3 linked regions of the Lonchura striata genome follow. The protein of the gene in region 2 purifies or fractionates together with the protein of the main gene of each other region. This does not show direct contact. Links are inferred from orthologs where the notes say so. Each region holds a gene or a part of one and is shown on either strand. Other genes may lie near its edges.

The links.
Region 1: the proteins of MPDZ (region 2) and PLEKHA2 purify together in Homo sapiens (affinity purification with western blotting; 3 studies listed by BioGRID and IntAct, with this or other methods). This does not show direct contact. The link is inferred for Lonchura striata from reciprocal best matches to the Homo sapiens genes MPDZ and PLEKHA2.
Region 3: the proteins of MPDZ (region 2) and AMOT purify together in Homo sapiens (affinity purification with mass spectrometry; 4 studies listed by BioGRID and IntAct, with this or other methods). This does not show direct contact. The link is inferred for Lonchura striata from reciprocal best matches to the Homo sapiens genes MPDZ and AMOT.

What each region holds. Positions count from the first base shown.
Region 1 is NC_134634.1:4,557,833-4,567,623, reverse strand, and holds the start of PLEKHA2 (pleckstrin homology domain-containing family A member 2), read right to left. Parts: upstream 3,867-9,791; 5' UTR 3,799-3,866; intron 1,011-3,798; 5' UTR 988-1,010; coding exon 847-987; intron 477-846; coding exon 420-476; intron 1-419. UniProt on the Homo sapiens protein: Binds specifically to phosphatidylinositol 3,4-diphosphate (PtdIns3,4P2), but not to other phosphoinositides. May recruit other proteins to the plasma membrane.
Region 2 is NC_134642.1:20,457,788-20,468,418, forward strand, and holds the start of MPDZ (multiple PDZ domain protein), read right to left. Parts: upstream 4,277-10,631; 5' UTR 4,124-4,276; exon of another isoform or gene 4,117-4,123; intron 3,954-4,116; exon of another isoform or gene 3,852-3,953; intron 1-3,851. UniProt on the Homo sapiens protein: Member of the NMDAR signaling complex that may play a role in control of AMPAR potentiation and synaptic plasticity in excitatory synapses. Promotes clustering of HT2RC at the cell surface.
Region 3 is NC_134616.1:17,374,541-17,384,901, forward strand, and holds the start of AMOT (angiomotin), read left to right. Parts: upstream 1-6,286; 5' UTR 6,287-6,402; intron 6,403-6,572; exon of another isoform or gene 6,573-6,684; intron 6,685-10,361. Other genes in the region: PGK1 (phosphoglycerate kinase 1), read left to right, coding at 117-231, 518-697, 1,225-1,402, 1,563-1,661, 3,259-3,299.

The sequences.
Region 1 (9,791 bases), on a different chromosome or scaffold from region 2:
CAGGGGAGAGCTCCCGTAGCACTGCCCAGCCGATTGCAAGCTCCGTACCCAGCTCATGATGACACCATGCTCCTGTCCCTACTCAGTCCCGGCCACCCCGTGTCCTTCCTCACAGCAGAGCAGTTCCTCTTCCTCCTGCAGCCTAGCATTTCACCCCATCCCTCACCACTCCACGGGTGAAGATGAACTGGTGGCCATCCTGGTGGTCCGGGCACCAGGATCTTTGTGCTACGGCGTGCCTCCCTGCTTCCCACAGCCCCACTCAGGCTTCATCCCAGGGAGATGGCCACGAGCCCAGGCAGGACCAGGAGCTGGCCTTGGGTGCTTCCAGGGCAAGCTATCGCCTTTCCTGTGAATGCCACAAGGATAAGGGGAAAGCAGGGAGCACTCACCTTCCCTCTGCCCCACCCCAACATTACCTTGGAGATGTAGGTCAGCTGCAGAGATCCAACAGCACCTGCTCCAATGGCCAGGTTCTGCAACACACAGCACGAGCAGTGGGAGGTAAATGACAGGGAGAAGGTGGCGAGGGCAATCCAGCCTGTCGTTTGTGCCCTTGGGGTCAGGCAGCAGCTGCTGTCCTCAGCCACTTCCCTGTGCTGCACCTGATCCAGCTCAGACCCCTCAGCAGGGAGACCAGCTCTGCTCTGCTCCTTGGGACAGTCCTGGAGACCACAGAGGTCACAGAAGGGCTGGAGCCTGGTCATGACCACGCTCAGCCACAGGACACTGACACAGCAGGCAGGGACCTGGGGAGGCCCGGAGGAGATGCCTGCTCCAGGGAGGCTGGGACGTGCCCACAGACTCCCTGACAACTTTACGGACATACCCGGCACACGTGCCCACCTGAGGATTGTCCATGTACCACAGGAGGTGGTTGGCCTGGGTGTCCAGGATGAAATACCTCCGCAGAAACTTGCCACAGGTCTCATTTTCTTCAATGTCCAGGAACCCGCAGATACGGTTCTGTCGGTCCAGGTACGGCATGCCGGGCTCCTTCTGGCATCACCCTGTGGGGTGGGGGCAGGAGGGGGAGGTGGGTGCTCTGCGCCCCAGGGAACTGCCCCCACACCCACCCCGTCCCAGCCAGGTGTTCCAGGATGGCAGCGCAGCCTCTCGGCCACAGCTGAGCTCTCCAGAGGGAGATGGGAGGGACAACAACCAACCCACCACTCCCAGCCCCAAGAGCCACCAAACCCCATGAGGGAGGACAGAGCAGCCACAAAGGATCTGACACAAGACACCAGATCCCTGAGAACTGTGGCGAAAAAAATCCCAAAGCAGCATGCGAGAGGGAGCCTGAGCACACTCCCAGGAAACGGGGAACAATCTGCAACTCCAGCAGAAAATCTGTGCAGCCAGGATGTCGAGTCAGCAGGGAAAACAATGACCCATCACAGCAGGGCCACGCTGTGTCCCCAGGTCTGCCAGGGCACGGACCCCCCCCAGCACTGCCCCCCAGCCGGGAGGTCTCCGTCAGGGCCCCTGGCTGCAGTGGGGACGCTGTCATCACCTCCAGCCTGCGTGGGGAGCAGAACCAGCACCCCAAGGCTGGGCAGGACATGTCCCCTGCCCGGGCAGAGCTGTCTCCCCACGGCACAGGGTGCAGGGCAGGGATGAGAGCAGCCGTTACCCAAAGGATGTCAGTGAACCCAGTGTGGTTTGTCTGGCAGGAGAGTGGTGATCACGCAGGTGCCAGAAGCAGAGCTACACAAATAAAAGAACTCATGCAGAAAAGGAGGAAATACTATTTTTGAGCTGCAGTGGAGTGGGGCCCGGGGAGGTGAGGGTTGTGCAAGAGCTGCGGTGCAGCTGCAAAGGTAGAGGGGGCAGAAAACAAGTCAACCTGCAGTCAGGATCTCAATCTATCACCACCATTTCAGAGATGGTATCTTGGCTCATGGGGACCGTGCTGCTGCAGGGGGAGAGGTTGTTTTAGACCAACGACAGCGCCTTGGCACAAAGGTTTCTGAGGGCACTTCAAGTCTCACTGCTTTTTTGTGGGGTTATTTTTGTGGTGGGGAAGCACATGGAAAGCCAATCCCTAGGTACCTTCAACCAACACGTTCAAACCAAACCTCATAAACCCTTCTTTCTGCTCACAGCAAAGGTTAGAGATTTCTGCTAAGGCGACAGATGAGGAAGGAGCAGAAGGTGCCACAGGCAGCACAGAGATGAGCCCCCAGTCCCTGTGTCCCCCCACCACCATCCTTCATTACCACGGGCTCATCTGGGAGACCACAAACCAGCTCAGCCCTTCTGTGCACACCGACCTCAGGCTGCACTTGGAGATGGGATGGGAGAGGAGATTGGGATTGTCCCACACTCTGCACCAAGTCAGCTGGGTTCCTGTCCCCTCTCATCCCACTGCCCACACAACACAAATGGTCAGTCTTTGGAACCACCAAGAACTGCACTTTTCCATAAGAAAATTATAAAAGTAGCATCTCCAGCTGTGCTGACATGTGGGGCACCCTGCTCAGGAAATCCAGGAGGGCCAGAAAATGCTCAGTTTCCTGGTGAAGTGTATCAGAAATTTCCAGGACTCTTTCCTACCTGTAAAGCAACCAACTTGCCAGCTGTTTCAATCACAATATCTCACCCAAGAGGACACCCTTTTCCTGACTCAGTGAATGACATGGCAAACAATTGGGCTACAGAAAAACATTTACAGAAAACCACCCCCTTGCCTGCCTGAGCAAAAGGGAAGTGCTCCTCAGGGAGAGGCAGGAGGGGCAGGGCACTGTCCATGCAGCACCCAGGTCCCCGCTGCAGCCAGGGGTGGCTCAGAGGCCTCGTGTGCAGCCACACAGCCAGACTTTCCAGGAAGCACCTCAGGGTGCCCTCCTCGGCCCCGGCAGAGCTACAGCCACAGGAGCAAGCCAGGAGCACTCTGCAGCAGGAAAACGCGAGGCGATGGGAGACCCGGCATTTGGAGCATCACAGCTGTGCTGCCGGGAGGCATCTCCTCGGCACCTCCCTCCAGAGCACCCATCGCACCTGTGGGCAGCCACAACGCCCTCCTCTCTCACACCTGTCCACCCGAGCCGTGCCGGTGCAGGACGACCCTCTCTCCATGCCAGCAGGGCGGGACCTGCGCTGCCCAGTGCCCGCAGCGGCTGCAGCTCCACTTCCTCTCACCTGCGGCTGCAGAGGAGCTCCCGGAGCTCACCCCGCGACGTCTGTCCCGACCCACGAGACAGACGGGGTAGGCAGCGCCCAGCAACTCTCTCCTACTAATTGCAGATATTTGCCTTAATGAAACTATCAGCCTGTCGGGAGGAGGAGGCTGGATACAGCTCTTCATCTGCCACAGAGACTCGGAGAACACACAGAATAGCTGCAAACCCCTGATCCCCGCCCCACGCTTGCCTCCATCCCCAGACTTTCGGCGAGGATGGTGCCTGCAGCATTTCCGGAGCTCCACGGGGACCCCTCCGCCCCCCTCGCTGCCTCCCGCTCCCCTGCCCCTGACGCTTCGCTGCAGGAGCCGTCGAGCAGAAGCCGCTCGCACCGGGAGGGCTCGACTCCAGCCCCGGCGCGGATGATCCAGCTGCAGGAACCGGAGCCTCCGCCAAGGACGAGGGGACCAGCCCCGGGACCACCTCCCCAGCGGCCCCCGGCGCCGCGGGGCACGGACGCCTCCAGCCGCTCCGGCAGCCCGGGAACGCGGGGACTCGGGGGCAGGGGCCGGGGGACGGGGACGGGACAGCGAGGGCTCCCAGCCCGGCCCGCGGGGTCTCTCGAGGGCGAGCGCTGCCTGCAGGCGGCCACGCGTGTCCCCGCGGCGGCACTTACCCCGCGGCGTCCCTGGGCTGCGCGCCCCGCGCATGGCCGGGGCGGCGGGGGGCGGCCGGCCGGGCTGCGGGCGCTGCGCACGCCGGGCAGCGCTGGGAGGGCGGACGGGCAGCGGAGGGGGTGTGCCCTGGCTCCGCCGCCGCTTCTTTCCGGGTTAATTACGTCTGTCATTAGCAAACCCGGCCCCGGATGTGAGTGCGGGGCGCGGGGCGGCTCCGCGGGGCGGGGGGCCGGTGTCCGTCCCTCCGTCCCATCGCCGTCCGGCCGCGCACCTGCCGCGGTCCCCGGCCGCCGCCGCGGGGAGGGGTGGGGGCGGCCCGGTGCGCTCCCAGTGCCAGCCTGTTGCGGGTCCTCTGCGTGCCCCGAGCTCGGGCCCCCCCCGGTGAATTCCCCCAGACCCGACACAAAACCACTCGGTCGGTGTTTGAGGCTGGCACTGACGGAGATGAGCCGCCCACTTCGGGGCGCCGTTCGTGCAATAGCATCTCTTGGGGAAGCTGCTGCTGGGAGTGAGCTCGGGGTGAATTTGGGAGCAGGAAACACCCGCTGCCTCCCCCGTGCCGGCCCGGGGAAGCCGCACTTTCTCTACGAAACTCCGTCTGGCCCCGACGCACTTTCTCCCGGCGCGGGTGAAACCGATCGTGGTGCTGCCGCCGCCGAGGATACGCGGGGACCTTGCTCACGGACACCCGCAGCCCCTGTCCGTCCCACGCTGGTCCGCTCCTTCCCACTGCTGCCTGCCTGCTCCCGGCATCCCGGCGATCTCGAGCCCTGCCCCGCAATCGCTGCCTCCCTCTCTTCCCATCCCTCCCTTTGCAAAGACTAAACTGTTCCACGGAGTATTTTCATAGCTCTCGCAGCCCTTGTGACCCGTCGGAGCCCGGGGCAGAACTGGGTTCCGGGCACGGTCACACGGCAGCGACTCACAGCGCTGCTTTCCCTTCATTCCGGGAGCCTGGCAGCTCTCCCAGATTTTCCAATGCGTTTTTCTGCTGTAACATGTGGGGGGGTGCAAGCAGACCCTGGCACTCACTGGGACACCCCATCAGCAGATGAGGGAACATGAGGGAAGTCTGGGGCAGGGCACGTCTCTGCTCCAGGACCTTTGGAGATTCCACCAGCAGCCAGAGCCCCGCGCAGAACACCCTTTGTGTGCCCCGGGGAGGGCAGGATAGCAGGATGCACAGCAGACACGGAATAATCTGCTATCCACGTGCTCCGCTCCAGCGGCAGCAGCCCAGCGCCCCTCTAGGCACACGTTGACCTTCACAAGACTATGTCCATGTTCTGCAGGACTTCTGACCCTCTCACCCTCCAGCACTCACCGAGGTCTCTGCTCCAGCAGCATCCTCCAGCTGTGAGTTCTACGGCTGGATCCGCACATGCTGAATTATTTATTTTCTTCTGTTCAAACTTGCTTTTTTTCAGTTTCAGTACCTGTTCCCCTTTTCCTCATGTCCTGACTGAGGCAGACTCCAGCAGACAGCTGCTGTTTGCTGCTCCCCCTGCACTACAGTTCCTGCAGTCAAATTCTCATGGTCCCAGCCATCCTTCGCTCCCTTCATCATTCCCCTTTCTGTTCTCCTCACCGTTCACTCACTTTTACCGTTCTCCCTCACGAAAGGAAGCCTCACGGGCCACTCCTGGGGGTCCTTCTAGCAGAGCTTTGAGTTGTGGGACCACCTACAGCCCCAGGCCACAGAGCAGCCTCACATCCCCCCCATGTCTTAGCAGCCACCGAAACGTCTCTCCACAGGCGAGCCTCGGGTTGCAGAAAGCAGCCCAAAAGCATCTCTGTTGGAGCAGCGGGGAGGGAAGGTGCGCTGGGATCCCAGGCTCTGCCCAGCGAAGCCCTCCGGGGCGGCACCAGAAGCCGAACCGGTTCGATTCGGCGCGTTCTCTCGCGGCTTTGGTTTCCCTGCCAAGGAGAGGCTGCGAACGCGGTTCTCAGCGGCAGCGTTTATTGGACTGGCGGCGATGGGAGCCGTCCCGCGTCCCTAGGCTAGAGCAGCGAGCAGCCGCGCCGGGCCGCGGGGCGCTCAGGGCCGGCCCAGCAGCAGCGTCCCGGCCAGCGCGGCGGCCAGCAGGCCGGGCAGCGGCGGCGCGGCGGCCGCCGCGCCGCTCCGGGAGCCCCGCGCCGGCCCGTTGCAGTCGTCGGTGAAGCAGCAGCGCACGGTGGCCCCGCCGGAGCCGCCGCGGCGCGCCTGGTCACAGAAGGACTTGTAGGAGCAGGACTTAATGACGCTGTCTGCAAGGAAAGGCAAGGCGACACGGGTCAGGCCCTCCCGGGAACCCGGATTTCACCGGCACGGGATAAAGAACACCTCGGTGCGGCACGGGTGCGGAATTGCAGGATTGCGCTCCTACCCGCAAGAAGCTACCGCCTGCTCTGCCTCAGGCTCCCTGCTTCTCCTCGCCCTCCGACTCCCAGCCCCTCTGGTCCCCTCCAAGACCTTACGGTCCTACCCCCCTTCCCCCTGGAGCCCCCAGGCCCTCCAGCCAAGGGACTCACTGGGCGCGGTGATCGTGGAGCAGGCGTCGGCGTACTGGGGGCAGCTGTGCGATCCCTGCTGGCTGCAGTCGTTCTCGTTGGATGCGACACATCTGTGGCATTTCAGAGCCTTGCCTGGGTGAAGATGAGGAGGAGGAGTGACAGCAATGCACTGTCCCAGAGACCCCAGTGCCCCGACAGTCTGTGGGTCTCCACAGACACCGGTGGCCCCTGGCCCAGGGACAAGGGAGGTCACGGGTGAGGGCTGGCACCAGACAGAATCGAGCCGTGAGCCAGGCCTGCCATGGCGTGCAGCAGGATGCAGGACTGAGCCTCACCTGTCCACAAAATTAATGCAAAACTCTTCCAAGTGTGACTCAAAATGATGAGAGCTAAACTTGGCAGATGAGCTCTGCCGAGTCCTTGCCCTGCAAAGACTCCCTGATAGTCCTGGAATTCCTTTTACAGTAAAAATAGGTAGACATCATATTTTAAAACCATCATAGATCTTTGTTTTCTTGTGCCAGATTTCATTTTAATAAATATTTTGTGAGGGAGAAGGGAGAATCCATGCAACCTGTGGGAGCAGCTCCCACATTCTGCACTGTACTCGGAAGCTCAGCCCGAGGGTGCGGCCTGGGGACAAGCAGGGTGACAGGCAGTAAAGTGCCAGGCAGATGTGAGTCGGGAGGGACGAGCCATCTCCGGATCGTCCTTAAAGGAGGTCCACAGGCAGGTTGGATAGCAGCCAGCCCCTCTCTCCTGTGCGTCAGAGCTGGTAGTGGTGCAAGAGCTGTGTGACCCCTCCAAGCATACACACACCCCAGAAAAACCCAAACCTGAAGATCCTGCTCCTGCCTGAAATGACGAATCCTCGGTTTTGATGGGGCCGGATAAACCAGCGCTGGTGCTGGAGGTGGAACTCGTCTCTGCTTTGCTGACAGCAGAGCCCTCTCGTGGCAGCGGGGCCGGCTCGGCCCAGAGCTTCCACCTTCATCTCGGAGAGAAAACCCGTGAATGGGGAAAATTGGGATTTCATGGGGTCAGATGCCAGTAAGCGCCTTCCATTAACCCACAATGGCCCGGCTTCCGCTGCTGGGCTCTGCCGTGTCTCCTTTGCTGTTCCCCACAGCACGGGACAGCCTTTCATCTGCCCTGAGCTAAAAATACAGTCGTGTTCTTCTTGCCTAGGTCCAAAGTTCCTGAAAGTGTCCAGAGCTGCCCCGATTCCATGGCATTGCTCTGAGCAGTGCAGCTTCCCCCCTACCTTTTACAATGGCTTTTTGTGATTATGCCTTGGAGGAACCACGAGTTAACAGGGAAACACAGCTCTAGCCAAGAGAAGCTGCAGGGTCTTGGCTCAGGAGCCTCCATCAGAGCTGGAGACCAGAGACTCTGTGCTCCCTGCTGGGCACAGCATGCCTAGGCTTTGTGCCAGTGGCAGATAGGCAAGGGACAGGGGCTTCTCTTGGTGCTAGTCAGAGGAGAAAGCCACCCTCCTCCCCAAAACGTTATTTTCCTGCAGGGGTGGGAGCAGCGTGGGGCAGGGGCCCGCTGGGCACACACCAGCCCGAGGCAGGTGACAGGGACAGGGCAGCAGCAAGCGCAAGAGCAGCTACAGCGATTTACCCAACCTTGTGCTGCCTGGAGCCAGGGGACACTTACTTTCTCCAGCCAGGGACGTGACGATGGCCAGGGCCAGCAGGGTCTTCAGGGCAGGCATCCTCAGCAGTGTGCAGTGTGGGGTGCGTAGCTGCTGTTTTGTCTTAAGGTCTTACAGCTAATCTGCTTGGGAGAGTGCTGGGGCTGGGATAATGCCATCTTAGCTGGGGGACAGGACACAGCTCCCCAAGGACACGGGCTGGGCAATGGCACTGGGGCAGAGCAGCACACTGGTGCCAGTGGATGGGCCGAGCTCTGCTCCATATCCTGCTCTGGAAACTGTCTCTGGACACAGAACCTCGTGGTGGCTTTCAAAGGTTTTGATCAAGCCCACCTGCTCCATCCAGAGAAAAGTCCCTTTCTCATCATGAGTAGCAGCCAAGTTGGGGAAAACCACTTCAGATTTTCCAACCCACCAAAAGAGATGTGCAAGAGAACAACAGAAAACCCCTACAGGGCTGGGAGCCCAGTGGAACCATTCCTGCAGCCCCCAGCCCTCAGGGCTCCAGCCTCCCAGCAGGATTTACCCAAGGCCTCAGAGGGTTGTCAGGGTCAGTGCAGGGATTAGGCCAAGGATTCTCCTGCCTGCCATCCTGCTTGCCTCAGCTCTTCCTGCTGTCTGAGCTCCCTGCCATGGCTCACTACCATCACCGTGTGCTGGGAGCCACAGGGCCAGAAAAGTCATCCCAGCTCTGACTTTCAGAGGTCAGAAATGCAGATTTCAGGAACACATGATTACTGTACTTATTTGAAACCAACTGCCATGTAAACCACATTAATAAAGACAGGCAGAACACAGCCCATTCTGCAAAGTAAAGCCAAGTCCTCCCAAAACTCTTCACCAACCTCACAAACACCAAGAAAGCTTTCCAGAGTGATAAACACAGTTTTTACTCAGGCGATGAAACATGGAAAAAATATATTAGTAATCATTATAATAATCTCATTTGTGTGAGTATAACTCTTACAAATATTTACCTGACATATAAAAGGGAAATTATCATACATATAAAACCGATGGCGATGGCAGTTACACACATGGCTGGAAGCAGAGGGGTAGGAGCCAATGCAGAGGAAGCTCCTGCCTGGGGGAGGCCACACTGGAGGGACAGGGGAAGGGATCAGTAGTTGGGGGTTACTGGTTGGCACTTGGTTACAGACAGATCTGCTGGCAAACACACACTGCAAACAGCAACACAGCAGCAGGGGCAGGGCCTGCTGCTGCCAAAAGGGCATTTAAAGTCTACTGCGAGGAACAGACAACAAACACAGCCAGCTGTGACACCATGTACAGGGACCTGCCATTCCCTGTGCCAGTCACAACGACACCATCACCTTGGCACCAGCACCATCACCTCGAGGTGCAACCGTCCTGCCCACTGGCAAACATGCCTTCTATTATAAAACTATACCCACTATGCATGTATTTATAGATCTGGAACTATAACCATATTATAGTTAATAAATCATTCCGTAGGAATCTTCTTTGCCCAGGCTGGGTGCACGCAGACGGGCACAGAAGCACAACGGCACCGGGTGAGGGGGGCAGCACGGCAGGACCGGGGGGCACCGGGGGCAGGGACAGGGGTGGAGGACTGTGTCCCGGGGCTCATCACGGTGCAGCCGTGCTCTGCAGACAGCCCACGGGGGACAGCCACAGCAGTGACTGCTGTGTGCAGGTCAGGGCTCAGGGAAGTGGCAAGGGGTGAAATCAAAACCTCTGCAATTATCCATCAGCTCCAAGGGCCAGAGCCACGCCCCAGGGAGAGACTGACCTCAGCCTGCCTTGAGCCAGGACAGCACCGAGCACCATGGCCTGAGCAAAGCAGACGGCCGAGGG
Region 2 (10,631 bases):
CTATCTGAAGAGTGATCTCTAAGCCCAAACTTTGGCTTGGAGTTGCATGAGATTAAATCTATTTCAACTAAGCAGCAAGGTAACCACAACAAGCATGTTATAGCTGCTAAAAAGAGTATTTTGGAACTTCTAATCTAACACTTAGGCCTGTGTTTGTCTGGGCTAGAGATATCCTTTAGTACTTGATTTTTATCCTATGTCATCTCTCTCCCCGGTTTTCTGGTTATCACTCAAATTGGCATATTGTGTATTCTCTGTATGGAGAAGGAACAGAAACTAAACCACACAGAAAACGGAAGATGCTCATTACTGCTAAATTTTCTGCCTTGCCTGTAGATCCTAAGAGCTCTTCCATTTTCCCACTTACCTCCTGAAAACTGGCTACTAACCCCAGGAGGAGAACTAAGGTGGATTCCCAGACTCCAAATAGTCTTGAGAAAATCAAGGCAGTTGAAATGTTCACAGTAAATTGAAAGATCTCATGCTTTTCTATGTATTTTTTGTAGCTACTTTTCCACTGTCACAAATGCAATTTTGCTGTTGCATACAGCATTTTTCACACAAAGGGTGCAAAAACAAATGAAAGAGCAATGACCAATAGAGAAAAAGAGACCAAACAAAAAGAAAAATTAATGTGCACTGTTCCACAAGGAACAAAGCAGATTTCCATTGACTACCTGGAATGTAACAAGCAAACAAGAGATACCTGACATCTACATTTGATAGCGATGCTAATGGAAATTGTTCTGAGACATTCAAAGTAGAAATAAAAAGGCAGTATTGCACAGCTTATATTACAATTCTAAGGACTTTGAAAAGATGTTACTAGCCTCTTGAAATTTAGCAAAATGCTGAAAGCATCAAAAATACATAGAGAGGTAGTGGCTCTGTATGTTGAAGAAAAGTTCTGTGATAGAGCTGAACAGTACCATGTACTTTGAATCAATTATGAAAACAGAATTTTGCATATTCAACTACTTGTAACCTTCTGTATACATCACTTTAATGTATTAAGGAAACTCAAAATGTTTTTCTATTAACTGGCAATCTGTTCACTGTGTATAATTAATAATTTTCTGTAACACTGTAAGAAGCCCTACATCAGCATAAGATATAATATCCACGGTAACTGACATGCTAATAATTGCAAATGGGAAATGGGACTAAACTATCCATAATGATTGCACCTACTGATAAATGTGTGTAATACAGTGTATTCAAAATTGATTTGCAAAGAGTATTCCAAAAACAACAACATAGTAGGGAGTTTCTGGTGGGGTTTGTTTGAATCTTTTTGGTTAATGAAACAGATAATCTTCTACAAAAAAGAAAAAAAAATCAGTAAATATCTTAAATTAAGATCAATTGGAATCTTTCCACATTAGCTTCAGAAACTGAAAAGCATCTTTTTAGCATATGAAGAATATAGGGGACACTACATATACCGAACTGATGAAATACAGGAATGATTAATACTGGCTCTTTATGTTTTCAAGCATAGGCAATTGATAACCATATTCATTAAATTCAATTAAACCTGGTGAAGCACAGATTTTACAGCAGCTGCACCTCAATGTATATTGGATTCTTCACAGAGGTGACAACAGCATACAAAGCCTCTCCAAACAGCTGCCATTTAGCATCAACAAAGAGTCATCATTTTCTCTACAAACTAAAACACAAATTTCTCTTTGTGTATTGACAATAACAAGTTATTTATACAGAAAATCATAACACTGTGTAAGAAGACCACTGTGCAAGGGGTTTCAGATGTAAGAACAGGGTCTGAGTAGCCTACAAAAGAAATATGCTATTATTGCCAAGGCCAAAAATAGCACATTTTTGTATTGACTTGTCAGGAACACCAGCAGTGAAACATGACTGTCCTTATCAATGATAATATAGTATCCTGTCAGCATGGTATTATATTAGCCAAAACTGCTTCACCAGGATGCTCAAATAATGCCTATTAAAAAATGTACCAGATGCACTTCACCAATTTTTTTGTGTGTGTGTGTGAAACATGGAGCAGAGATTAAAAAGTTATTCAAAATGCTTCTCAATATACTGAATAAGTGCTACTTGTTAAAACAAAACCATCTACAGCTATCTGCATGACTGAGAAGATATAAGGCGTTCCTGCCTGAAGAATTCAAAGACCAGGACCCCACCAGGGTCAGGTGGAATAAAAAGATCCATTAGTACCGATGTAGTGCAGTTCTCTTTCCCTGGTGCTGATAGTGATCTAACTTTTCTAGCGCATTTCTTCGTAAAGAGGAGAGAATGTATCCAGTTCCTAGTGAAAAGCTTCTACAAAGCACTAAGGAAACCAACAGTAACACTATATCTAATCATTAAATGTTACATGTATGTTACTGTTAACAAGATAGGAGACATAAAAATATGCAAACAAAAATTGATAACCATTTCAAAAAATTGTGCTCTGTCTAAAAATGCTGCTTGTTAAGGTGGGTATGTCTCATACATACAAAATACATAAATATATTCCAATTGCATTCTTTTCTTTTAGTGTTACAATTACTTTCAATTTCCACAGAAGCATCAAGTAACACTGAAAAACTATTTTACCACTTTCTCCTTTTCCAGTTTAGACTCTTCCCTACCAAGGAGTTGCTGTTTCCTTGGGAAACACAGAAGTGATAGGCAAAGCACAGGGCACCACACAATACAATTTCAAAAACTACAGAATTCAGATCCTTCCTCTTTATCTCAGTAAATCTCTGCTCTCCTACTGCGACAGACTCCTGACACCCTTTCTGGGACCAAAGCCAGTAAGGATGTTTCCTATCCAAGAGTTTATAGTTAAAAAAAAAAAAAAAAAAAATCTAGACATATTAGGACACAAATATATAGCTGGACAATGCAGTGTTTATAAAAGCAAAAGAAAAGGTAAAGGGGAAAAAATTTTTAAACTACAATGTTTCTCAGGCAAACGGCAAATCAAATCCGTTAAATGCTGTACACGGTTCAAAAGGTCGGCTTTGTGAGTTTTTGTTTTTCTTTCTTTCCTCCTAATACTCTTTCCAGTAATATAGGGAGGTGCTGGCAGCAAGGGGGGACACGGGAAACGAACCATCCCTCTCCTCTGAGCAGCCAGACTCATCAAAGGCCACAGCTGCAGGTGGCCCCTTGCCCTCTGCTTCCACCCAGCCCAAGCCGCTACGTTTGAACGCGCCCCGCGGAGCGGCCGGACCGCTACCGCGGGCTCGGACCTGCGGGCAGCCCGACACCACCGCGGCAACAGGTCCCGGTCCCCAGGACACCGCCAGGGCAGCGGGGCCTCGGTCCGGCCCCGGCTGCGAGCGAGAATCGGCGCCCACGGGAGCCGGCCGAGGGCCGCGGCCGCCGGCACGGTCGGTGGCAGCGGCGGCAGATGCGGAGACCTCCTCCCGTCATGAAACACCCGCGGGGGGTAAAACAGGAATGCGTGAGCGGGCAGCAGGGCTCCGCGCCTGTGTCAGGGGAGTCTCGGCTTTTGTTTACGTGAGGACAACGCCCCGCCAGGCCGCTCGAGCCCGCGAGCCGCCCGCCCGCCGCAGGCCAGAGCCCGGCCCGGCCCCGCTCGGCGGCGGGGAGAGGGGATGTGCCGGGACACAGCAACAGGCTCGGCCCGCGGCCCGGGGCTCCACGGCCTCGCCTCCTCCGGCCCCACCCCGGCAAAACCCTTCTGATCAAATGAACAATAATAAATAAAAGTTCGAGGGACAAACGCGTTTTAAAAGGTCGCTTAAACTCCAGCGAGGCGGAGGACCCTTCCCGGCCCGCATCCCCGCGGGACGACTCAGGAGGGCTCGCCCCGCTCGCCCCGCCCGGCCCGGCGCCCTGCTTACCCCAGCCGCTCGGCGAGCCCCACCGCCCGGCCCGGCTCTCCGCCCTCCCCGCCCCCGAGTAGCGGCGCCGAGCGAGCCGCGCCGCGGGGCAGCGCGCTGGGCACGCCCCGGCGGCCTGAAGCCCAACCCCGCACCGCCGGCCGCGGGGCTCGCCGGGGCGGGCGGGGGCCGCGGGACCGCGGGGCACGCTCGGGGCGCCCGGCCCCGTCCCTGCCCGCCTGCAGCGCGGCCCTTCCCGCGAAGTTTGCCTCCCCGCGGAGCGCACGCCTTGCCGGGATGACACCGAGGAGCCGGGCTGGTCCGGTTCAACTCTCCGGTTCGCCTGCGAAGTGAAGGCGGCGGCAGGCTGGTCCCTGTCTCTCTCCAGCGGTGCGGTGCCGCCTGCGGACGGGCCTGGAACGCCAGGACACCGGCCGTATCCCTTCTCGTGCAACAAGATGAGCCGGGCCTGGAACGCAGGAAATGTTTGCAAATGCTATAAAAAAAAAAAAAAAAAAAAAAAAAAAAAATCTTAGATAGCAAACAACACATGATGAAGTTTGACAAAATGATTTATAAGGTCGTGGAATTAATAAAGGAATTACTTTTCCATCGATGCAGCAGCTGGTTATTGTGTTAACTAAAAGTAAGGAAGATGTGTGTTTCACATACATACAAGAATAAAGCGTATAATGCAGAGATGTTTGTAAAGACCACAAAATATCCGAAAACATAAGTTCAGCTAATGGTGGAATTATTTTTGCTATTTGTTAACTTTGCTTCGACTAGCATATGTCATCAAGGTCACTGTTTCCCCTATTCCTTTACATAAGATAATTTTTTTGATGTCGATGTTCTCAGACAGCTCAACTGAGGTAAACCCCCTGCAGAGGGAGATGGACCACAGCTGCTCCACTCGGCGTCTTGGCTCTGGCTTTGCAGAGGCTCCATGAGCTTTTTATCTTCTTGCCTTCTGGCTTAGTTTGTTCTTTTTCCAAACAGATGTTAACCTTAAGAGTCATCATAACTTCTAGTAGTTTGTGGCAGGGGGGTGGTGGTGCTATTTGGTTGGTAGACTTTTTTGGGTATTTGGTGCTTTTTTTTTTTCTTTCCTCACACAAAAATTTTAAAGAAACCTAATGTTATGAAGCTAGAATGGAGTACTGCCCTATCTATTTTCAATAGTGTCAATAAATGCAATCCCAGTACAAACACTTTCTTTAGCAGAACACTTAATGTGTATACTTTATATTTGTACATAGCATGGTTCAGATTTTTTTTTTTTTATTTGGAAAATTAAATTCTGGAAAAGTTTGAATTACAAAACAATATTTCTCTTGCTTGCTCTTATTACAGCTGGTTGATTGAAAAACTCCAAATTAATTGCTGCCTTTTCCTCTGCTGAGTATTAAAATATTTTTTAACAATAGTTCAACTTTTTAACAATATTTCTTCCACCTTTTTAACTAAGAAATGTAGTTTTCAAGATTTTATTCACAGGTTCCATTGTTCAGTCTGACATGAGCTCATAAGCATATTACTTTTTTAATCAAACACAGAGGCTCTGCTGTAGCTAAGACATTGAATGATCTATAACTGTCCCACCAACTTTCTGTGTTACATCAGCTTTTATTGAATTCAGAATAAAATTTTAAAAAGAAGTTACAGTTTGTTTCCAAGTATCATTGTTCAATGAATAAGCCACAGTTGATTAGATAAGTACAAAAAGAAAATGTTATTGTTATTTTTTCCTGTTGCTCAGGCTTTAACTACAGGATATGACTGAAAGCAGATGCAGTGATTACATTAAGTTTATTTGGACAAAAAACTGGTCAATATTAGGTGCAACAGTCCTCACAATGTACAACAGCATCCCTTGTGTAATAATTCTTCCCATTTCAATTTGTTTTTGTATAGGATATACCTTTCAGAAAGTTTTTTAACATACAGACCGCTATTTTAAAGTAGAAATACATTTTAAATTATATTTATATTTTGTCAAATCCTTGTAGTGAGTATATATTAAGTAGTGAAGTTCAGAACATTGTGCTACCTGAGGCCTTGCCATATTAAAAAGATTTGCATAAGTATATTTATGCCAACATAGCTGTACACAGAAACTGAACCCTCTCATAAACACACAACTGTACATGCAATAAACATAAAACTGTAATGGGAATTAGCATCACAGTAATCTAATGCGCTTTTGCACACAGTAGCTGATGACACTGATGAAGAGCCATGCAGGCACAGTTCTAGCAAATAGCAAAGCAAATTGTTATGGTTCAGAATACACAACTGGACTCATGGATATATTTGGTACTACCTTTAGAAATTAATTTGAAAGACATCAGCCATTCATTTTGACTTATTTCTTCCTTTTATTATAAAATAGGACCTCTCCAGCCCCTTCCTAGAAAAAGGTCAAAACGTATCGATTATTTCCTTGGTGTGTTTCATGTGATACACAATGCTTTAAGTTATGTCACAGCTTTGTTAGTGTAAGGAGTGTGGCCATTGGTGGTATATAATCTTGAGGGATCCTTCAAATGTGAGAAAAGAGAATCTACTTTGTATTTCAAGGCTAAATGTTTTAACAAGCTACAAATAGCTTATGTGTCTACAAACGCTTATTCAAGTGATTGTAAATAAAAATTGTAAGCAATTTTTTAAATCATAAACTTTCCTCAGAAGATAATTATTAGTGCAAAATCCATAAAAAATATTGTCAGAAAGGACTCTTAAGGAGAAATGGAAGGGATCTAAATAAACCCTTATTTTATGTTCTCTAGTATTAACATCCTGATATATTTCATTTCTCAGGTCAATTTATAATATACTCATGGTCGAAGTATCAATATTGGATGAGATGTCTGCCTTGCTGATTTACTTAAATAAATAAAATATTAATATTAATGATTTACTGCTTAGATTTATTAGAAAACATGAAGGAAAAGTAAACTGAGAAAAAAAAAGCCTTTACAGAAATAACAGGGGCACCAGAAACAAGGCTATGTGTCCATTAAATCATTCATTAGACTGCTGTTGGGGATGCAGCCTTTTAAAATAGTAATGGGAACAGGATCTAACCAATGAAATGAGAGTCTGGTTCTGCTCTGAGTCACAAGTACTGACTTCACTTTGAGAAGATGCTGCCTATGAAACATATTTGATGATATTTATGACACAGATCCATTTATTCCCTAAAAAAAAAAAAAAGAAAAAAGAAAAAAAAAGTGTTCTTAACAATAATTGTCAATAATTGTTTGTTTCATCACTGTGGGTATCATATTTGGTATGGGCATTGTTATTGCATGGTCCACTGCAGAATGGATAATATATATATATTTTTTTAGGGACCTAGAAGCACCCTGTGAGGGAGTCAGGAATATTTATAAACTTTTTATTTATGTTTGAAGTATTCCATCCCTGAATTTAGAAAATAACATGGAAATGGACCAATAAACACTTTTCATAAGTATTACCTTGATTAAAAATTGGATAAACTTTTCTTTTATAGCCTTACTCTTCAATATTACAGCATAATTTTCTTAATGTATATTCATATGTATATATACATACATAGACACAATATTGTACTTTTCATTACAGCATTTGCTCACCTTTCAAGCTCAAAACCTACTAATTACCGTCTTCCATGTTAGAGAATGATAATTATTTATTATACATAAAATTTTATTCATGGCTATGTAAAGCAAGAGTAACTCATTGCATTACATGGAATTAAGCTGTAGAAAACCAATCTGAGATCAAAGGTAACTATGATCCTAACTGCAATAGCTGCTAATCTAAATATATTAAGTATGCATTTATCCAAGGATGGATCACCATCTTTTTTCATGGAGCTCTTACGAGTAGAATAAGTTATACTAGCAGAAGCATTCAGTATTAAATATAACACTCTTCTTCATTTCAACATAAAAGGTACACTGCAAAAGTCAGATGGTGTAACTACACAGTTACTTCTGTTACTGGAGGTAACACCATGTATATTGTTATACAGAGCAAAAATTGGGAACTTTCTCTTAACTTTTGTGTTTGAAATGTACAGGCTTTGGATTATTATGCTGGCAAGTAGTGAATATTAGTGTCACTTCCTGAAGCATGCATATTTGCAAGAATGGAGCATAGATTTGCATTTTAAAGATTCTTTGGGAAATTGTCTTCCCTGCAGACATACTTCATAACAGTTATTATTGATATTGGAGGTTGCACATACACGTACAAGGGGAAGTATGCCCTGTAAGGTAAAACAGAGTAAAAAAATCATAAAAGGTATGTTAATTATTTATAACTACAAAACAAAATACTTGCAATTATGACAAATTAAAAGGGCACTTATTTACACACAAACAGGATTGTTTAAAGCCACAGACCTTGCCCATAGCAGAGAAGTGAAGCTAAATAAGTGACAATGCATATTGACGTTATCATAAATTATTCAGACACAAAATACCTACAAGGAGTGTCTGGTTTTGTCAGATTGCAGTTTTTTGGGTTTTTTTTTTCCAAAATTGTGGCACCTGGGTCCTTTAACCACCAGGAGTGGCACAGTGGGTCAGGTTTTCAGGAGCCAGATAGCTGAAGGAAAGCTTCCACCGAAGGTGGGAGGACACTCAGGCTGCTTTGATTTCCAGAGGGTTTATTGGAAGGGTAGAGAAGGCAGAGGTACAGGGAAACAACCACTCGGAAGGGGAGCAAGCTCTGAGAGCCTCATCCCGCGCGCGGGTGAGGTATTTAACAATAACAGGGTAGGAGGGTCAGGGTACATTATAACCAGTGAGGGAAAGGCTCAGGGGCGGAGTAGGGGAAAACTGACAGCGTAACAACGAATAGGGACAAAGGGAAGGAGTGGCCAAGGAGAGGGAGCCAACCAGGGTACAGAGAACTGAGAACATTCTGGAACAAAAGGATGGCTTAAACAATGATAGACGCAAGCAAGGGGAAGGGATAACAAGTGATTGACATTGGGGGAGGCGGGAATCTACACATTGGTTATTACCACCCAGGGTATCTCAGGGGGACTGCCCCCTGGACCCCCTCCCACACAAAATGTATTTTGCCATAGTTGCCACATATTTGACAGACCCCACTCTCAGACAATCTAATTTTTAAAGTTTCTCAGAAGTCCTTCAAGGGACGTTGTTGAGAGCAACATGTGATCTGTTATACTTGTCAATGCAACAGTTGTTTCAATGTTTGAAAAGATATAGCAATATCTTATTAGCAATACTTGTGTTAGATATATTAGGAGGTACTGCATGACATATCCTTTAGAGATTCAGAATGGAAGGAACCTGACCTGACCAGTTCAGGAGTTTATGTACAGATGAATTAGTGAAACTAAGTAAAGCACAGCAATATGTACAGAATGATTTGTTGTATGGCTCTGCAATTTATCACTATCCAAATAGTATTTACCTCTGTGTGCACTATTTAGCCAATCAAAGTATCTGATATCTTGTCCTGTGTAGTATATGATGCAGATTGCATTTAAGAGTACACATTACCTTCAAGTCTCTGCTTCTGATCCAAATGTGAAATTGGACATTGTTTTGCTTTTGGTGATGTTCAGAGTTAAAACCTCAGGAAAAAGTACATATCTGAATTTGCAGTCTTAGCCCTTTTGGTCCCAGAAACATTCATTATATTACCCATTTTGGATAAATAGTTCCTTGTGTATTGGACCATGTCTTAGGTTAAAAGATTTAGCTGAGTTGTGTATTTGCCATCTGTTAGAAGTGGGGCAGTTATCTTCTGCTAATTAGGCATTTTTCTTTAGCTCTTCCATATGCAATCCTCTCTCCAAAAAATATATTTTGTTAATGGGCCATTGAGCCTCACTACATGACTGATAAAAATTACATAACTGCATGTAAGATACTCCACCCAGGGGGAGGAGCCTAGCATTCCTACCTGGATAGAATCTGAGATTTAGAACAGCCTTTTGCCACTAGATTCCCAGAAAAGCAGCTGTCTTCTCCCCTAGATTCCCAGAAGAAAACCAGACCCATCTAAACCACCACCAGACCTTCAAAAGAAAACTACACCCTTCTACAAAATCACTCAACAAAACCACATTTATTACTCCAAAAAGACTACAACCACAACTAAATCAAAACTACTACCAACACCCTGAGCAGCAGGGTAACCATCAGGTCATATTCTGACTCTGTCAATAGTCAGAATATTCTGACTCTGTCTTTTTTTTTTTTTTTTACTATTACATTTGTATTTTTAATTTTCCTAGTAAAGAACTGTTATTCCTATTTCCTTATCTTTGTCTGAGAGCCCCTTAATTTAAAAATTATAATAATTTGAAGGAAGGGGGTTTACATTTTCCATTTCAAGAAAGGGTCCTGCCTTCCTTAGCAGACACCTGTCTTTTCAAACCAAGTGGTATCAATGTGGTATCACTACACTGTCCCATCATGGACTAGTATTAGAGCTGTAGTCTGTTTGAGAAGGCAATAAAGCTTTGCAGTTAGCTTTGCCAAGGCATTGTGTGTACAGAGAGACCATGCAAAGAACCCTGCTCCAATGCTTTTCTGAAGGAGCTGATTCCACATGGCTCTGCATGTTCTTAGTTTTAATTTACATGTAGAGAAGAGGCAGAAATGTATGTCTGTGTCCTTTCATCTTGTTTGTAGTATAAATGAACTTTAGGTCAGAAATAAAGCTATTAGCATTTACCACTATTCTTACCCACTGTTCATACCATTACATAGTTTCATTGAAAATGCATTATTACAGTCTAGGAATTACCAGCATTAAAAAAAC
Region 3 (10,361 bases), on a different chromosome or scaffold from region 2:
ATTCTCTTTTTGCCCATTCCCAACAATTCTTTTGTTGGATCATTCTCTAGAACAGCCTTGACATACCATAGTCACAATATTCATTATTCACTGTTTTTCCTTTTCTCTCTTACCAGAGCCAAAGTTCAGGATAAGATCCAGCTTATCAATAACATGCTGGATAAGGTCAATGAGATGATCATTGGTGGTGGGATGGCATTCACCTTCCTCAAAGTGCTCAACAATATGGAGGTAATGAAGAGAACAATTCTATGTCTGCTCCTATTGAAGAATGTGGTCTGAATGCCCCTTCCATGTTCTGGGATTGAGCATTGGTTCTCTGCAAGAGTAGGGAGCACTGAGAAATTACTTGACAGTCCCTTGCAAAACTCAGATTGCTGCTATATCTCTCCATGTGCTTTAAGAAAACAATCTTTCAGGAATTGCTGCCTGAGCAGTTTGGGTGCTGACATTCTCTTCTGTCATGTCCAAGAGCTAAACAAACACCTCCCTTATTTTTCCCAAATGTTTCCTTTAGATTGGCAACTCTCTGTTTGATGAAGAGGGATCAAAGATTGTCAAGGACCTGATGGCCAAGGCAGAGAAGAATGGTGTGAAGATCACTCTGCCTGTTGACTTCGTCACTGCTGACAAATTTGATGAGAATGCACAGACTGGGGAGGCCACAGTAGCTTCAGGCATTCCTGCTGGCTGGATGGTAGGTTTGAATGGGAAAGGGAGGAGCAGTAAGGAATCGGGTGGGTAGGACACCTTCTAAAGGAGTAGAAAGAGTAATTGTGAGCTTTGGCAAATGTTTCTGGGGGCTGCCAAGCTGTGTAGAGTTTGTTAGTTTAATGAAATTGAAGCCCTGTTGTTTGTTCTGAATTTTTAAGTCTAAAGTATCTTCTGTGAGATTTGGATTAAACCAGCAAAACTTCCCTCCCAGCATGCAGATCTGAATGCAGTAGAAATCCCTTCTTTTTGACTAGAATTTAAGTAGCGTTGGCAAAGTTTTCTAGCTAAGGCTTTGAAAATTTGACCTTAATTTAAAACTGACTTACTGGTGTTAGGAAGATAAATACCCCCTTGCCAGACTCCACCCTCCTGCAGCAGCTGCTGGCAAATCTGTCTGTGAATACAGAGAAATTCTTGTTTCATGTCTGGGGTGAGGGCCAAGCTTCTGGCTGGGCTTGGGTGATTTTGATCTGGGGGTCAGCAGTGAGTGACTTCTCTCACTTCCCCTAGGGCCTGGACTGCGGCCCTGAGAGCGTGAAGAAGTTTGTTGAAGTTGTGGGAAGGGCCAAGCAAATTGTGTGGAACGGTCCAGTTGGGGTTTTTGAGTGGGACAAGTTTTCCAAAGGAACCAAAGCCCTGATGGACAAAGTGGTAGAAGTAACTGGAAAAGGCTGCATCACCATTATTGGTAAGTAGTTGTGTTCTTCTGTTTCTAAATGCATGGAGGAAGCTTGTGATGGCCAGCACTGTGATAAAAATATTTTCCTCAAGTCCTCCTGCAGCTTGGGCATTCAGTTGGACAAAATGTGAATTTCGTGTGTGTCTCATGGATTCTGCTTGTGCTACAGGTGGTGGAGATACAGCTACTTGCTGTGCTAAGTGGAACACTGAGGATAAAGTCAGCCATGTCAGCACAGGAGGTGGTGCCAGCCTGGAGCTGCTAGAGGGTAAATCCTCTTTTATCTTTATTTGTTTGAGTAAATGTGGAGCTCTGTGTGCTCTACCATGTGTTGGTAGTCAAGAAGGCACAACAGAGGAATGTCTTTTCTGTCCCACCATGTGGAGTTAGTTTTTGAGTTAGTCCCACCATGTGGAGCTTTGGAGCTACAAGCTCCTCTTCTGTTCTGTAGTCCTCACAGAGGAAGAGAGGAAGGAAAATGGAATATTCCTGCAAACAGCACAGTATGCTTCTCCCAGAAAGCAAAAATACTGGGACAGAAAACAAGAGTGGGCTGGATTTTGTCACTGATCCCTCAGGACATGGCAATTAGCCTGTTGAAAATGCCCGGTTCCTGTTGGGGAAGCCTCATCAGAACAGTCTGGAATTCTTGCCAGAAGTCTCTTCTTCCCGTTTGCAATTCCCTTGGTTTTGGGGAGCCCTCTAGTGCTCACCGACAAGCCTGCACGAGGGTACTTGGAATTCAAAATGGTGAGGATTGAAGGGATTCTTGTAACGAGTTCCATTGTTCTCTAAACGACTTTTCATTTCCTCTGGTAATTTGCCGTTTCCCAGTGTGTGTAAATTATCCAACGCTGTCAACTCCTCTGGAGAGGAGGAACTTCAATAAACTGCCTTGCAGCTGCTGTTTGCAGGAGTAAGATGGGAGACAGAGCTTTTGTTTCTGTTGCCTAGGGAGTGATGGGGAAGGGAAAGAATGCAGATGGCTCGAAGGAAACGCTGTGTATTCAAAAGCACAAACTTGTCTAAGTTTTGGCCCAAAATATGGGTTTGTGTGTGTGATCTTTTAAATGTAGCGGAAGTCTGGCTAATTAGAAAAGCTTCTGAAGATGAAGAAAGGGGGGAAAATCCCTGAAAACTCAGCAAACTAGTGAGTTGTGAACAGTGTTAAAATTCAGTCCTGCTGCACAGCTTGAGCATTAGAAGGTTGTTTTTCTGAGGAAAGGCAAAACCAGAGTGGTGTCTGTTCATTATTAAAGTAGGACAAAACACTGAAAATGCTTTAGAAAATGTTGCACTGTATTAATCTAGGCTCTTGTACTCAAAGATGAGACTATTCTTTGATTCCATCAGTTGGAAAGAGACATGTAAATGTCTCAACCTGAGTGTTTTAGTTGTTTAAAGACCTGGGACTCTTAGGAGACTTTTTCTCTTAATTAATTCTTAAAATTTCTACCACACTCCCTAGAATTCTATTTACATGCCACTAGGGACTTAAGAAAGTATGCAGCAACTGGCTAAATCAAATCAAAAATCTGTTTGCCATCAAACTTAATGGAAAAGAATGTTTGGTGTTTGGATCTGGCCCTAGCAGAGACTTGCACAGAAATGTGCCATTATTGTTAAATGAAGTTGATGGCTGGGCTGTGTTAGGAATCTCTCTGCTGACATCTGAGTGCAGCTGTGCTCCAGATGGATTTATTGTGTGGAGCTGGTCCATGGAACCTCCATGGTCAATGTGAAGCCAAACTCTTCCATTTTCAACCTGTAATTCCTGATTCACTTTTTAAAATTATATCTCTTTAAATGTAAAGTTGTTTGAGCAGAGATCCTTAACCCTGCTGCTGTGTTTTATCTGCCCCCAGGTAAGGTTCTCCCTGGTGTGGATGCCTTGAGCAATGTGTAGAGAGCAGAGCCCCACGCCCGGTCCCGTGCACAGCCCCTGAGATCCAGCACTTCAGCGCTTCCGTATTCCAGCTCTGCCAGAGGCAGATCCCAGAATGTAAACCGGAACGGGACCTTGGAGCAGAGAGAGCAGAGATTTTCCTGACTGCAGTTTACATGATGTGGGTTTGTCCACTGTTACCCCACTTGAATTAACGTAGTGAGTTCAAGCTGTTGTTGTGAATTTAGAGTGTATATATTTATATTTTGCCTTTTCAAAGAGTTTAATCCCTGTTAGATGTATATCTCAGAAAGGAGTGCACTGTCCAGCTTCCATCCTAGAGGCATTTTCATCACTTGACACGGTTCAAAAACCAGAGGGGACTCCAGTTTTTTGGAGGTTGGTTGTAATAGCTGCTGAATAAACATATTTCAAGTGCTCCCAGTTTGTATGTTGTCCTTATTTCAGATTTTTAGAATGGACTTCATTAAAATATCTTCTAGCATCTGGAATCTGAGCTATTTTTCCTATTTGCTCTAATTATAGTATTTCTAAATCTCATTTTGTGGTTGTCCAGTGGTCATTATAAGCACCAAGTCATCATCAAAGTGAACTTCATTGGTAAGGAAGTAAATTGCCACAGATGTGCTGGGTGTTAAAACTTCAATGCCCCTCATAATAAAGTAAGATGAAATTTTGAATGTGCAAGTAAAGTAACAAAAATGCAAGTTGAACTGCTTATCATCTGGAGAACTTGCTTCATAGTGGGCAACTACTATATTTCATGTCAATACAGGGGGAATTTTGAAGACTGAGACAGGTAAAAATGAAGTCCCTGACAATTGCATTGTGCCTTTGTTCCAGTTTGTGGTCCTAAAAGCACTGAAAGTAGAATGGTAAATCTGCACAAACACTTGAGGTTTGTGTGTGCCTTCAGCACGTGGCAGAATTGCAGATGCTGTCAGTGAAGGCCCAGCAAGGTTGTTCCAGTGCCTGGAGCTGTAGGCTGCCCTGTGCTGGCTGCAGGGCCCAAATGTGAGCACAGAACCAAACCTGGGACTTCTCCAGCCTCAGCCTGGCCTTGGCTTTGGCTTATGGCAGCAGTCACAGCTCTGCTCTGAGGAGAGGCACTGCTCCAGCTGAACTGCTGGTGGGTCCAGGAAAAGTGAGTGGTGTGGGGCAGCCATGGCCTGGTCTGATTCCCAGTGAAATCCCAGCAGTGGTGCTCCCAGGAGGTTCTGCACAGCACAAAGTATTAAGGATGAACCACAGAGGGAGTCCATGAGGTACGCAGCAGGTCACAACACAGATTCTACTTTTCAGTTAATTTCTATATATGAAATATTACCCAAACATGTATGTGTTAGACCAGATATGCTGCCAAATTTTACCTGGTCATGGTGGGGGGTGTGAATTAAAATCCAATAATGCTGAAGTGTGGTAAAGCTGCTATGAAATCTATAGCTATTAGAGTTTAAAGCTAAAAGTGACTGTTGCAAACAAAGTAGAAACAATGCAAATTACTGCAGCACTGTGGTCTCCTTCTCCTCTTCCTCCCCTCCTTTGTAACTCTCCCAAGCATTGTCTGATGGCACATGAATGATGCACATTTTTGCTGTGCTGTGCTCATGTTTTCCAGGCAGGGGTGCAGACCTCCGACAGCTGCAGGAACGTGGCAAAGAAAGGAGGGGGCTTGTCAGCCACAAAAAGACCATGGATTTTGGAAATCCAGTACTACAAAAACAAACATTCCACCATGTCTTGTAACAGATCCTCGTTGTCTGGCTCTGGAAAACAAGACCTCGTGACAGCACAGCCCATTTTTGTGTCACTCTTGTGCCCCTGTGCTGCTAGACTCCCATGGAGCAATAACAGACTTTCCCCCCAGCCCTCCTTTCTGGGTGTTTACTGTGGAAGATTGGTGTGTGGCCACTACTTCTGCTGGCTTTTTTCTCTCTCCATCAAAAGCAACAAAACAAAGCTATCTGTAGTTAAATACAGCAAGCAGTAATGATGCTCTGTACACACAGATGTCTCTGCTTAAAACCATTTTTCCACCTGACTTTGGATGTTCCCTGCTTACATCTCTAAAATATCCTTTTGTTTCCACACGGCTTGTTCTGTGCACTGTTGTGTTCAACACAGGAACCATGGCACGGTAGGGCCAGAGAGATACTCAGCTTTAAATAAAAATAAATTGTAAATAAAAATGGATGAAACACATAAACATGAGACCATATGAGCTGAACACTTGATGGCCAGCAGCTGAGTATTTCAGTGACAGATTTTCCAGGGCCTTTCTTTTAAGTTTTGCCTGCTAATACTTCTTTGATAGGTCAGCTTTTACATTTTTCTTGCTTTTATTGAGAGTTTCTGGGGCAAGAAATCATCCCTGTCGGAAACATTGTGGAAGAAAGATTAGAAGCAAAGCTGTTGCAGAAAGCCCATGATGTAATGAAGTTAATACATACAGCAGGTTTAAGGGGCTGATACTAAGAGCCAGGTGAAATTAAAAGTAAAGAACTTAAATCCTTTGGACACACCAACCCCATGGAACACTGCAGACTGGGAAGTGGAAATTGCCTGGTGGGAAAGGCCCTGGGGGTGCTGGCCATCATCAGCTCAACAGGAGCCAGGCGTGCCAGGTGGGCAAGAGGTCAATGGCACCTGGCCCGTCCCAGCCATGGTGTGGCCAGCAGGACCAGGACAGTGACTGTCCCCTGGCTGGGCACTGGTGAGGCCACTCCAGTGCTGGGGGCAGTCTGGGCCTTTCACTTAAGAAAGGACCTGGAGGGGCTGGAGCATGTCCAGGGAAGGGAATGGAGCTGGGAAGGGGCTGGAGCACCAGCAGAGGCTGAGGGAGCTGGGAAGGGGCTCAGCCTGGAGAAAAGGAGGCTCAGGGGGGACCTTGTGGCTCTGAACAGCTCCTGACAGGAGGGTGTGTGTCGTCCTCTGCTCCCAAGCAAGCAGTGATAGAGCATGGGAGGTTCAGGTTGGATATCGGGAAGAATTTCGTCACGGAAAAGGTCGTTAAACATTGGAAAGCGCTGCTCAGGGAGGCGAGCTCCCCATCCCTGGCGCTCTCCAGGGGACGGCCGGACGTGGCACCCAGCGCTCTGACCAGGTGGGGCTCTCACAGGCTGGGCTCGCTGCTCTCAGGGTCTTTCCCAGCCCCGCTGGAGCCGCGATTCCCCCGGGCCGAGGCGGCTGCCCGGCTCCCCCGCCCGTGCGGAACTACAGCTCCCGGCCGGCACCGCTCGCCGGCCCGCCGGGGGATGCCGGGCGCCGTAGTTGCAGCCGCCTGCTGAAAGTTGCCCGCGGCACCGGCGGGGCCCTGGCCGGAGCTGCCCGGCGTGGCGCGGCCGCCATGGATGTGCGGGCGGCCGCGGGGCCCGGCGCCCGCGGGGTAAGGGCGAGGCGCGGTGAGGGCGCGGGAAAGGCCGGCGCTGTCCCCTCGGGCACCGCCCGAACGGGCCCCCGAGGCGGGGCAGGGCTGCCGGGTGTTCCCTCACGGGCATCTCCTCCTTCCCCGGCGCTGTTGGTGGCTGCGGGGAGGGCTGGGCGTGGGGCGGCTCGGGGGCTGCCGGGGCTGTGTGGGTGGGAGCCGGCCCTGCTCCCCTGCCCGGCTCCTTTGTCAGCTCCAGGTGCTGCCGGGGTGTTCTTTGGCCGCAGGCTCTGCCCCAGCCGCCAGGGATGGTCCCTGCTCTGCCTTCTCCTCCCGCCGGCCCCAGCCACCTGCAGGAGCTCGCCCGCACCTGCCCCGGCTCCGAATTTAACAGAAGCGTCTCCAAATCCTCCCGCTTTGATCTTCGAGAGAGAGAATTTGGAGGGTGATAATCCCCAAAGGGTTAAAAGCTTGCATGCGTGCCTTGGTTCGGCCGTTCCGCTGCTGCGGTTATTGTGCATTTCATTCACAGAGTGAGGCAGGGCCATAAATATTCACCGTGACTTCCACCGCATGGTCTGAGCAGCTCAAACCCCATCGTCTCCGTTCCCGGATACTTTTTGGGCAGGGTGAGGGCTGGGAAGCCAAATGGTCACTGTGGAGGAGCTGTGGTGGACACAGGAGTTGGGGTGATGCTGAACACCAGCTGCTGGTCTCGGTGCTGGCACCAGCCAAGGGCTGGCTGCACATGGTGGCACAGCCCAGCACTCCCAAATTTCAGGCTCCTGGGGACTGTTCAGACTTCTCACAACACCCAGGCCCCGACTCTGGCATCCTCACCTGCCCTCTCCCATCATAGCATGCATAAAGAAGATCTCCACTCAGTTTTCAAGTTAAAATTTTCAGCATTGCCTCTGATAAATGATTTTCTCAGCCCCAATGCAGTATAAAATAGAAAATTCCATTTTAGTTAATTTTTCGGTTTTATTCCACTTTCTAATGATAATTTTTCATTAAGCATCTAATCACATCCTAGCATTTCTCATCAGCAAGGCTCAAGGTGCTTTACAAAAGAGGGAAAAATATGATTATTCTGATTATCCTTATTAAGGCTTAGGTTTTGGGCAGCTTCTGCATATAATATAGGCCCATAAATAATTAAAAGTTCAGTCTAAGAAAGGAGAAATCCCCAGTTGTAAACTGAAGTGCCACACTGAAGAAGGCAGTGTGTTACAAGGCATGGCCTTGTAACCTAATCTCCCTGATCAGAACAGTATCCCATTAACCCACAAATCTCCCCTCTCCTGACCTGTCTGCCCCAAGGACAGGTAATTCCATGTGCAGGATCCAAGGGAGGGAGTCTCAGTGACCAAAAGCAGCCTGGAGAGTGTTCTATTGAAGCTCCCTGGTGTTCAAGCAAAGGTCTTGTGTTCACCAAAATATCCAGCCTGAGCTGAGCAGGGTTGGGCATAGAACTGATGGAGTATTTTAGTAGAAATAGGGTTCAGAAATAAGAGCATTGCTCAAACTGGAGTCTAGAAGATATAGAAAAAGGTTATGGCCTGGATCCAGTTTATCTACATCCTAAATAGAATTCTGACCTGAAACTTGCTCTGAGCTCTTTGTCAAGTTTCATCAAAGTTGGACATGGGCTTTCCTGTTTGGGAATTTTGTTTGCTTGTGCTAAGCTGGGTCTGTGTGTCCCGACACCTGCGTGTGCTGCTGAGGGCTGGCTACATCAGGATCACTGTTTATCCACATAATTCAGCAGCAGGACTACGTGGATGAAGTCCTTGTTCTCATTCCAAGTACCTGCTGTCACATCTGAGTTATTCTGTGGGAATGTTTTTGTTCTGATCTGTGGTTACCCAGCGCTCAGCAATGACCTAATTGCAACCTCCTCGTTAGGCAGAGAAATTTCTGAGTTTGGCTTTGCAGTTCACCTTCTCAAGCAAGTAAAATCTCTGTTCTGTAACACCATCTGCCAGCACTTGAGCCCAGCGTTCATGAGGGATCATGAGGCTGATGAGGGCAGTGTGTGTCTCTGCAACAGCTTCTGCCACTGTAGCATTGCAATGTCTAACTCAGAGCAGGTGTACACCACGTAGTCAATGAAAATTCCTGAGTCTGGTGATCTCCAGCAGCTTTCTTACCACTAAAGGACTTGCACCTGTGTTGGTGTGGTGTTGTGCAATTTCCTGGTAAGTTGGTAATGTAAGAGCAATTACAAATAAAGCTGAAAAAGCCCAGACTGCCTTTTTCTCTAAGACTTAATCTTGGCAATGTTGGTGTAATTTTCAAATGTAACTCAAAGGCATGCTGATTGAAATGAGTCCCAAAGTTCCTTAGGGTCTTGGACAGACCTATATATTGATATATATGTGCTGTAATACCTTCATTTGTATCATGTTGACTGTAGGTCAGTCTCATTGCTGGAAGCTCGGAGTAGTGAGGCATGGCTGGAGCTCCCAGTAATGCTGGTGGTACTGGGATGTGCTGCACATGGCAGGGGAGGACCTGCAGAAATGAGGAAGCTGTGAGTGCAGACATTTTGAGCAGCAGAATTTTGAGGGAGGGTGAGGGGGAGAAATAGAGAAGTCAGTAATAAAAACTAAACCATCACCAGGGTTGTAGGTAATGATGGGTTCCCTAAGAACATTCTTGTGTGCTGCTTAGGAGAGAGAGAAGAGCTTCCCTGGAGAAGTGCATTTCCACACAAGCTTTTGGTTTCTTCCCTTGCCCATTTGTGGAGCACTCACATCTTTCTCTAACCCTGCAAGACATTCTTGTTTCCTTTCATTTACCATGAAATAAGGAGATGAGGCACTGTTGGGCTCCCTTATTGACTTAACTTGTGGGAAGCTCCACGTAAATCCCTGAATTTCCCAGTCCTGACACCCAGGAGGTGTTTGTGGAGTCGAACACAAGGTGGAGGTTCCTGCACAGGGAGGGTTTGATGCTGTCCCAGTCCTGAGCCTGTGACTCTTAATCCTGCCTTGCTTTGAAGTCTGAAGCTCAGGAGTCTGCATTAATGATCAAGGGGCAGAGCTGAATATGGAATTCCTATGGCACAAAGGTAAAGGTGTGGGTTGGAATGTGGGAAGGAAATATTTAAGAGCAGACTGGCATGTATAGTTAATAATATTAAAAAAATAATCATGTTAATGTCCTGTAGGTGCTCAGGTTCTCAAGGCTTTGAGCATCTTCTCATCCCATGTAGATCACTGGTCTCTGGCTGGATCCTGTCATGTCCACAATATTAAATCCCTTGAAGAGCAGAAAACTTCAGGTTTGAAAACTCTTTTTCCTCTGCAGTGGGAAACTTGCTCTGCCCCCTTAGGCAGGAATGTCTGTTCCTCATGCAGTGTTTCAGAGCTGTGCTTGGCATTTGGCTGTCACTCTGTCCCACTCTGCCAAGTGTCAGTGATCCCTGAATGCTTAAAAAGTTCCTTGGGACTCTCAGCAGATGTGAAGCTCTTCTAAATTTGAGATCTGTCAGGAGCAGAATGCATTAGAACAATTATTCCTGACTTTGACTTACGACTATGTTAAATCTCACTTATTTTTACCACAGAGTGTGTTCTTTTTAAGGCTCTGAGCTGTTTCTCTAATTCAGGAGCTGTTATTCCCAATTTTTACTTCATAAAGGAAAAGAGTCAAAAGGGCTGTGTGTCTCACTACACATAATATACAGATAT